Linked DNA regions of Macaca fascicularis. The protein of the gene in region 2 binds, or shares a complex with, the protein of the main gene of each other region. Links are inferred from orthologs where the notes say so. Each region holds a gene or a part of one and is shown on either strand. Other genes may lie near its edges. The genes, in order: KDR and VEGFC.

Evidence for each region.
Region 1: the proteins of VEGFC (region 2) and KDR are in contact, whole or in part, in a crystal structure (PDB 2X1W), measured with the Homo sapiens proteins. The link is inferred for Macaca fascicularis from reciprocal best matches to the Homo sapiens genes VEGFC and KDR. Residues at the interface, in NP_005420.1 of Homo sapiens: Thr148, Asn149, Phe151, Lys153, Phe186, Ile188, Val190, Pro191, Leu192, Gln194, Pro196; in NP_002244.1 of Homo sapiens: Val135, Tyr137, Ile215, Val216, Val217, Val218, Asn253, Val254, Gly255, Ile256, Asp257, Phe258, Asn274, Arg275, Asp276, Phe288, Leu289, Ser310, Ser311, Gly312.

Annotation. Positions count from the first base shown.
Region 1 is NC_088379.1:78,789,928-78,793,750, reverse strand, and holds part of KDR (vascular endothelial growth factor receptor 2), read right to left. Parts: intron 2,900-3,823; coding exon 2,743-2,899; intron 1,817-2,742; coding exon 1,693-1,816; intron 954-1,692; coding exon 845-953; intron 1-844. UniProt on the Homo sapiens protein: Tyrosine-protein kinase that acts as a cell-surface receptor for VEGFA, VEGFC and VEGFD. Plays an essential role in the regulation of angiogenesis, vascular development, vascular permeability, and embryonic hematopoiesis.
Region 2 is NC_088379.1:181,467,042-181,470,864, forward strand, and holds part of VEGFC (vascular endothelial growth factor C), read right to left. Parts: intron 3,659-3,823; coding exon 3,325-3,658; intron 177-3,324; coding exon 62-176; 3' UTR 1-61. UniProt on the Homo sapiens protein: Growth factor active in angiogenesis, and endothelial cell growth, stimulating their proliferation and migration and also has effects on the permeability of blood vessels.

The DNA.
Region 1 (3,823 bases), about 100 Mb from region 2:
CTAAAATGTAAAGACCATTGTTACTGAATGGTGATTTAACTTGGTATAGCTCACTATCATCTTGCTGCTTTCAGACTACTACAAAGTACCAAAAGAAATGAAGCTCTATCAGTTCCAGGTGATGTACTACAACTTGACAAACAAACTAGACAATTCAGGTTCCAAAATATCTTATTTGGCTAAAACATATTACTTGAAAATGTAAATGAATTCCTCAGATATTTACCACATCTCCACTGTGAACTCTACGCAATGTTTAATATTTTAAAAATCCAAAGCAAAATCTCTAATCCTAACAGAATTTTAAAAATTAGGTCTTCATTAACACTAACACTCAATGATATGACAGCTACATTTATGCCAATGAATTAGCCCTGACTATAATATTCCATTCAGCACAATCAGCTAAAGCTTATCCATCAAACTAAGATGCACAGGCAGAATCAGCAGCATTGGGAGGGCACTGCTCCGATGTCATTCTGATTGCCTCCAGAAAGCCCACCCTTATCAACTGCTCCACAGCAAGCCCACCAATATGTACTGAAGCTCAATAAGCCATGCACTGTGCTAGACTCTGAAGACTGAGATGTAAATAATGACACAGAGCTTGTGGTTTAAAGCATCTGTGAAACCATTCTCTCTGCGGTGAAGTTAGAAGCACTGACTTAAGCCCAGGAGATACCTGAGGAGTTTTAATTTATGAATGAAAGCATCAATGATCAATCCAAATCCTCTTTCCTCAATGCCATGCCACTCACATGAATGGCAAAAACAACAGGAATTACACAGCTTAGTACCCACTGTGTGAGTGATCCAACCCAACCCTCCAGAGAAGAGTACTTACTGGTAACATGGAAGGAGATCACCCTCTCTCCTCTCCCGACTTTGTTGACCGCTTCACATTTGTACAAAGCTGACACATTTGCCGCTTGGATAACAAGGGTACTTACAGTCTGTAGGGGGAAAAACAAATCTCAGGCCATAAACAGTGCAGCTTGTTTGTGCACAAGTACTCAGTCCAGCAGTCTCCACAATCACTCCAACCTGCCTATGCCATTCCCACTTCCGCAGTGATTGGACACTTTTGAATTTATGCAATTACAGGTTGAGTATCCCTTATTCAAAATGCTTGGGACCAAAAGTGTTTTGGATTTTGGATTTTTCTTGATTTTGGAATATTTGCATTGTATACTTAACAGTTGAGCATCTCTAATCTGAAAATCCAAAATCCAAAATCCAAACAAGCATTTCCTTTGAGCATCAGGTCGGCACTCAAAAGGTTCAGAATTTGAAGCATTTTGGATTTGGGGTTTTCAGGTTTGGGATACTTACTCAATTTGTATAATTATGCTGCTGTGCAGCTTACACATTATATAAAAAGGGCTTTGGAAACCATGAAACTATTGATGTGTTTTAATATATGATACACATTTTTTCATTCTCATGCTTATAAAATTAGAATCACCCTACACAGATGCATAGATTTAATGTCATAGACTTTTTATTTTTCTCTAATAAGCTATTAATAAGTTAATGGTATGGCTAAAAGTCTATGGTATTTTCAAAGTGACTTAATATGCTATTATTTTATCACCTAGACTATTTGATTATTAATCTCCAATATACTTCACATATTATTGTAGCATCCTTCCGTTAAAGAGAGATTTTCAAATTTTAAAACTTCAAACTCACTTTGTTTTTTCCTTCAATTAGAGCAAATTGATTTTTATTGACTTCAATTTTATTTCCTCCCTGGAAGTCCTCCACACTTCTCCATTCTTCACAAGGGTATGGGTTTGTCACTGAGACAGCTTGGCTATAAGAAAGAGATAACAGAGCATATTATGATTTAATTTTTCTTTAATTCTAGTCAAGAGTAAGGAAAAGATTCAGACTTTGGTTATTCTGTTCTTAGAAATAACTTCCAATGCAGCCTACCACGGTACAAGACTTGGCGCCAATTAAAAATAGGCATTGACTACGAAGGAAAAGGCTCTAGGTAGATTCATTCAGGATACGGGAGGGAAGCAGCTATTCTGGGAACAAACCTTCATTCATAAATTGGATCGACAAGACAATTCAAGTTAATTTAGTTCAAAGGAAGGCAAGGAAACTTAGAAACCACTGGGCTCCTTAAAGTAATTTCTCTGGGACCATAGTCTCTGTGAAGGAAATGATCAGCAGCTGAGGAAGAAGCTCGTAGTGGCCATTTCAAAAACAACAACAGGAAGTGGACTGCTTAGGGTGGTAGTGGGTTGGCTGCTGCTGTTGTGTTTTTCCCTAAGGATGTCTGGACATGTGTCAGAGCATGATAAGCTGGGCCTGAGACCCTGAGGACTGGGGCTGGGTCTATCACTGCCTCTCATCTATCAGCATTTCCTCTGAGAGATGGATCTTCACACAGACAAGAAGGAGCGATGTGATATTCACCAGTTGATTGGTATTGGGAAAAAAACCAAAGACTGGCAATTAGCAAACTGAGCAAATAGCCTGTGTTTGGAGAAGTGTACCTCAGGGATAACCTAACAAGGCTGAGCTTAGCTTATCCCAAAGTAGGATACTCCAAGCAAAGACATCCCTTAAAATGTAAGACATAGAGAAAGATGGATGGAGATTCAGGCTACCTCTTGAGAGAAAACTTTCTTCGGTTTAGGCTTCTCCATTTAGGATGGAGTCATATCATAGTTCAGCTGTAAGAAATGCAAGACGGCAGGAAAGCAAAGAGCGTGTGGCCTTACTCACCTGGGCTCGTTGGGGCACTCTTCCTCCAACTGCCAATACCAGTGGATGTGATGCGGGGGAGGAATAGCGTAGACCGTACACGTCAGCGTTTGAGTGGTGCCGTACTGGTAGGAATCCACAGGAGAGATCAGAGATTTCTCACCAATCTGGGGTGGGACTGAAGATAGGAAAAACGACCTTTGAATTGTCAATCAGCTTTGAAGAATGGGAAATAGAGGATTTCAGCAACTAAAGCTGACTTTCTTTAAGCATATGATTTTGCTTCCACTTCCTTTTTTGAAGAACACTTAGATGTGGAAACAAGAGACCTGAGTTCTAGTGATACTCATAAAAATAACAACTAGCCAGGCATGGGGGCTCATGCCTGTAATCTCAGTATTTTGGGAGGGCAAGGTAGGTGGATCACTTAATCCCAGGAGATCAAGACCAGCCTGGGCCACATGGTGAGACCCCACCTCTACCAAAAAAAAAAAAAGAAATTGAATAAAATAACAAAATAAAATAAAAATGGCAATAAGCTAATAAACTAACAAGCTGAATGACTTTATGCAAGTGTTGGAATCCTGTGCCTCTCATCTGCATTACAGAGATAGTTCTCTCTGCCCTCTCAAGTTCACGAGATCAGGGGAAGGCTACAGAAAATAGCTGAAATAGCACAGTAAATATATTTATTATGTGCCAAGCATTGTTTGAAGTGCTTTGCATGAATTCATTCACTTAATCCTCACAACCACTATTACTATCCTCAGCTTTATACACGAGAAAAAATGAAATACAGAAAAAAATGACTTGCCCAAGGTCACTCCGTTAACAAACGGCAAAACCTGGAACAAACCTAGACACTCTGACTTCTGAACCCAAACACGTAAACCACCTCATGTTAAAGGAAGGCATAAATCTTTAGAGAATGCATTACTGCCACCACCATCTGAGTCTTTCATTCCCTCTCCCTCTTCCTCCCTCCCTCCCTCTCCACTCCCTTTCCCTCTTCCCCTTTCTTCCTTCTCCCTTCTCTCACTTCCTTCTTTCTTCTCTCCCTTTTTCCTTTCTTTCTTTTTTGACTCCAAAGTCAAAACTATTT
Region 2 (3,823 bases):
GTTCTCCTGTGGCAACAGTTTTCCATAATAGAAAATCGATGAACTGGAAAACAGTGCAGTCTTAGCTCATATGTGGTCTTTTCCAATATGAAGGGACACAACGACACACTTCTTCACTATATGAAAATCCTGGCTCACAAGGCTTCTGGCGGTTCGTACATGGCCGTCTGTAACAGCTAGGAGAACAAAAAAGAACACACTTATGTTAAAGATCAAGGCAGTGGATTCATTATGCTACCAAGGTATTTCAGTGTTTTTATATTTCAGACTAGAACAAAATTACTAATTTTATGATGCAATTGTTCATAGATTTATAAAAGTTTGTTTCTGCTTAGAATGACAACATTTCAGAGGAATGGAAAGGCCTTAAAATAAAAGTCTTGCTTGGTGATATAACAAATGGAAGGAAGGAGGAGGTATTGTAAGCATTAGTTCCTTTGAAGTGCTCTTTGCTTCATGGATGAAAGAAACATAAAACAGAAATTTTGAAAGTGAACATTGAAGGTCTGCTGACTTACTGTGATCACATAAGCATGGCTGAATTCACATGAGTCTGGGACTTGTATGGGACCCAGACTTCCAGGCAATTAAACCAGCCATGTTGGCAGAACTGTGGTCCTCAGTGAGCAGCCCCACCCTCACTCTTGTGTCTCTACTTGGCAGCTGGCTGCATGATGGTGGCTAACTCTTCCTTTCCACCTGGGCTCCAGGTGAAACAGAGGCATTCTGGGGCAGGGAGGTAAGAGGGACAATACTCAGCAGTAGGGTCCCCTTCCTCCCATCCTAGACTGCCGGGTTCTAGTAGCAGAGAGAAGACAAATCACCAACTGGTCAATCTGTCCCCTGCCCCGTTGCTCCAGTGAATTGAGACCTCAGTTTTTGAAATAGAGTCTCGTTCTGTTGCCCAGGCTGGAATGCAGTGGTGCGATCTCGGCTTACTGCAACCTCCGCCTCCTGGGCTCAAGTCATTCTTGTGTCTCAGCCTCTTGAGTAGCTGGGATTACAGGCATGTGCGGCCATGCCTGGCTAACTTTCTGTATTTTTTGTAGAGCCAAGGTTTTGCCATGTTGGCTGGGCTGGTCTTGAACTCCTGGCCTCAAGTGATCTGCCCGCCTTGGCCTCCCAAAGTGCTAGGATTACAGGTGTGAGTCAACACGCCTGGTGAGAATTGGAGCTATTTTTGAAAAACTTTTTGGAGTATGAGCATGCCTAATGTGCGGGAATAGGTGTAAAGGGAAACGTGCAAGATGACCTGAGGTGGAAATCGAAAGTGTGCTACAAAAATCCCTACACAATTTGGTTTTCATATTTCATTTATTTGGCTCTAGAAAAGAAAGCATGTCTAGTTAATTTTTTTAAACTTTGCAAATGCGAATTCATAGTTGTGACTACTGGTATTCCTCTACTAAAAAGGGATATGATACTTAATGATCCATAAAAGCTGTTAATTAAGGCCATGAACCAAAGAATATATACTCTGCCCACTGCACTTTGTAATAAATATTAAGAGAGAATGAGGAGAATATAAATTTTCAAAATATGATATTTTCTCTTTTGCTCCAATTTATATCACAAAGTCTGGAATTACACACTTAGAAAAATGAACATAGGATGAGTTGCAGTAAACAGAAAGCCTTTTTGAAAGAATGTATACTATTAGGAGAAATGCAATGATAGAAATATTGTCTGTGTTCATATAAGAATTCTGTAGAAAAGTATGACAGCTGGTTAGTCTGTATGCAGACATAGGAATTTCAGATTTTTCAATGTATACTAAACTCACTCAAGAATTCAATATAAAACATAGTTTAATAAGGCTTAAAAAGATTGTCTGTATCCTTCTGAAAATACTAGCATATACATTTTTGAAATATCTTTTTGGTTATTACAGTAGGAATATGTAGGTAAAATTGGAATATAGTTCTTTCTAAAAAAGAAATACTTACGATGTACTTTGCAGTATAAGGGAAGAAAAATATAATCAATGAGATAGCTAGATTCACTAAAGCCATTTTATGCAGTAGGTGAAATATTAGTTGAGGAAAATAATCAAAAACATACATTACAATAAAGACACAAAACTCTTGAGAATAAAACGATGAACTCGTTATATACTGTGAAAAAACAATAATGAACATTAGTGAAGATAGTAGTAAATAAATGGAATACGAGCTTTTTTTGCTAAAAAGAACATTATCTTCCCATATGTAAAGAGTGGATGTAAAAGAGTGAAAGTGATTAAGAACAAATGCTCTGAAAATTTAGTATACAAGTAGGAAAGTACAATGTCACATCATAGAAGAGGTGGGCTGGAAGAAAAAGGCCATGGAAAGGACAGGTTACCTAAGGACAAAATTATCTGTTGGATTTGGTAACTGTGAGGCCAATGAAACTTTAAACAGAGGTTTAACATAGCACCGTAGGCCATAAACCAGGTTATAGTTGGTTGAATACATGGCAGATGAAAGAGGTGAAAACAAATGCCTCATTTTTGAGCAGCTTTGAAGAGGACAGAGCTCGGTTGCTAAAGTATGCTCAGCTTCACAGTAACAGGCTAATAAAATAGAAGAAATTTGGGAACTTTTATAAACTGAGGGGGAAAAAAGTAGAGCTGAAGATGTTGAAGTTATAGAAGAAAGAAGGAATGGCATGAAGCAATGTTGAAGGAATGTGGAGAAAATGTCAAATGCACAGGTCTGGCTTAAATAGTAGGATCACCTTATTCTCTGAGATTAAAGAGGAAGAGGTTCAGGGATTAACACTGAATGTGCTTGAGTCCAGTAACTTCATTTTTTTTTTTTTCTTGGTGGAGAAGAGTGCAAAACCAAGTTTAAGAAATGAGGCTTGGGTACCTTTAACAATATATTCATTTATTTCTCTAATTCTATCAAATACTTAGCTTAAATCTTTTCATTTCCAGGTATAATTCTATAGTCAATGGTACTATCCTATCCTTTGTTTGTAAGTTTTGCGTAAAAATTGTCTGCATTTAGAACAGTTGTCCTAAGTGATGTCTGAAAGCATTATACTTTTTGGTGGGGGTGGAGTGGATTGCCTGGATGTATTTTGAAAACATCCCACAGGAGCCACTAATCTAGAGTATATTCGGAACTTGGATTTAGTTTTATCCTCAAGGCTCCCATCTTGCTTTTTTTGGAAGCAAATTCAGTCTCATGCATTGGTTAAAAAAAAATAAGATTTTATCTTTCAGAACTTATTGGCCTCATTCTAACAAGCAATTGCTACTTTGGTTAAGAAAACAGTTTTTAGTTTAGAACATATTTCTAGTAAGAGAAATTAAAACTCTTCATGAGGATCTCTTACCTGCATGTTTGGTGTTGGAACTTCTTTCCTTTTAACAAGCATTTCTGTGGACTTTCTGTACATTCACAGGCACATTTTCCAGGATTTAGGGGGAGATTTCTGGGGCAGGTTCTTTTACATACACACTGGCACGTGTTGTCATCAAATTCTCGGTTGGCCCCACATTGGCTGGGGAAGAGTTTGTTTTTACAGACACACTGGCATGAGTTTCTGTCTAGTTCTTTGTGGGGTCCACAGCTGGCAGGCCGAAGCCCCGCTCTGCAGACACACTGACAGGTCTCTTCATCCAGTTCCTTGTTTGGTCCACAGATGTCATGGAATCCATCTGTTGAGTCTAGACAAACAGTCAGAGCATCTTTACTATACCTCACTTGGTTCTGGGTGTGGCATGAAACAAAAGCTTCTAAAAGCATCTTCCTTTGTATGTTTTCCCTCAAAGGATTGTGTACAAACATGAGTATGTTCCTTTACAAAGGAGTTCAAAATAATACCAATGCGA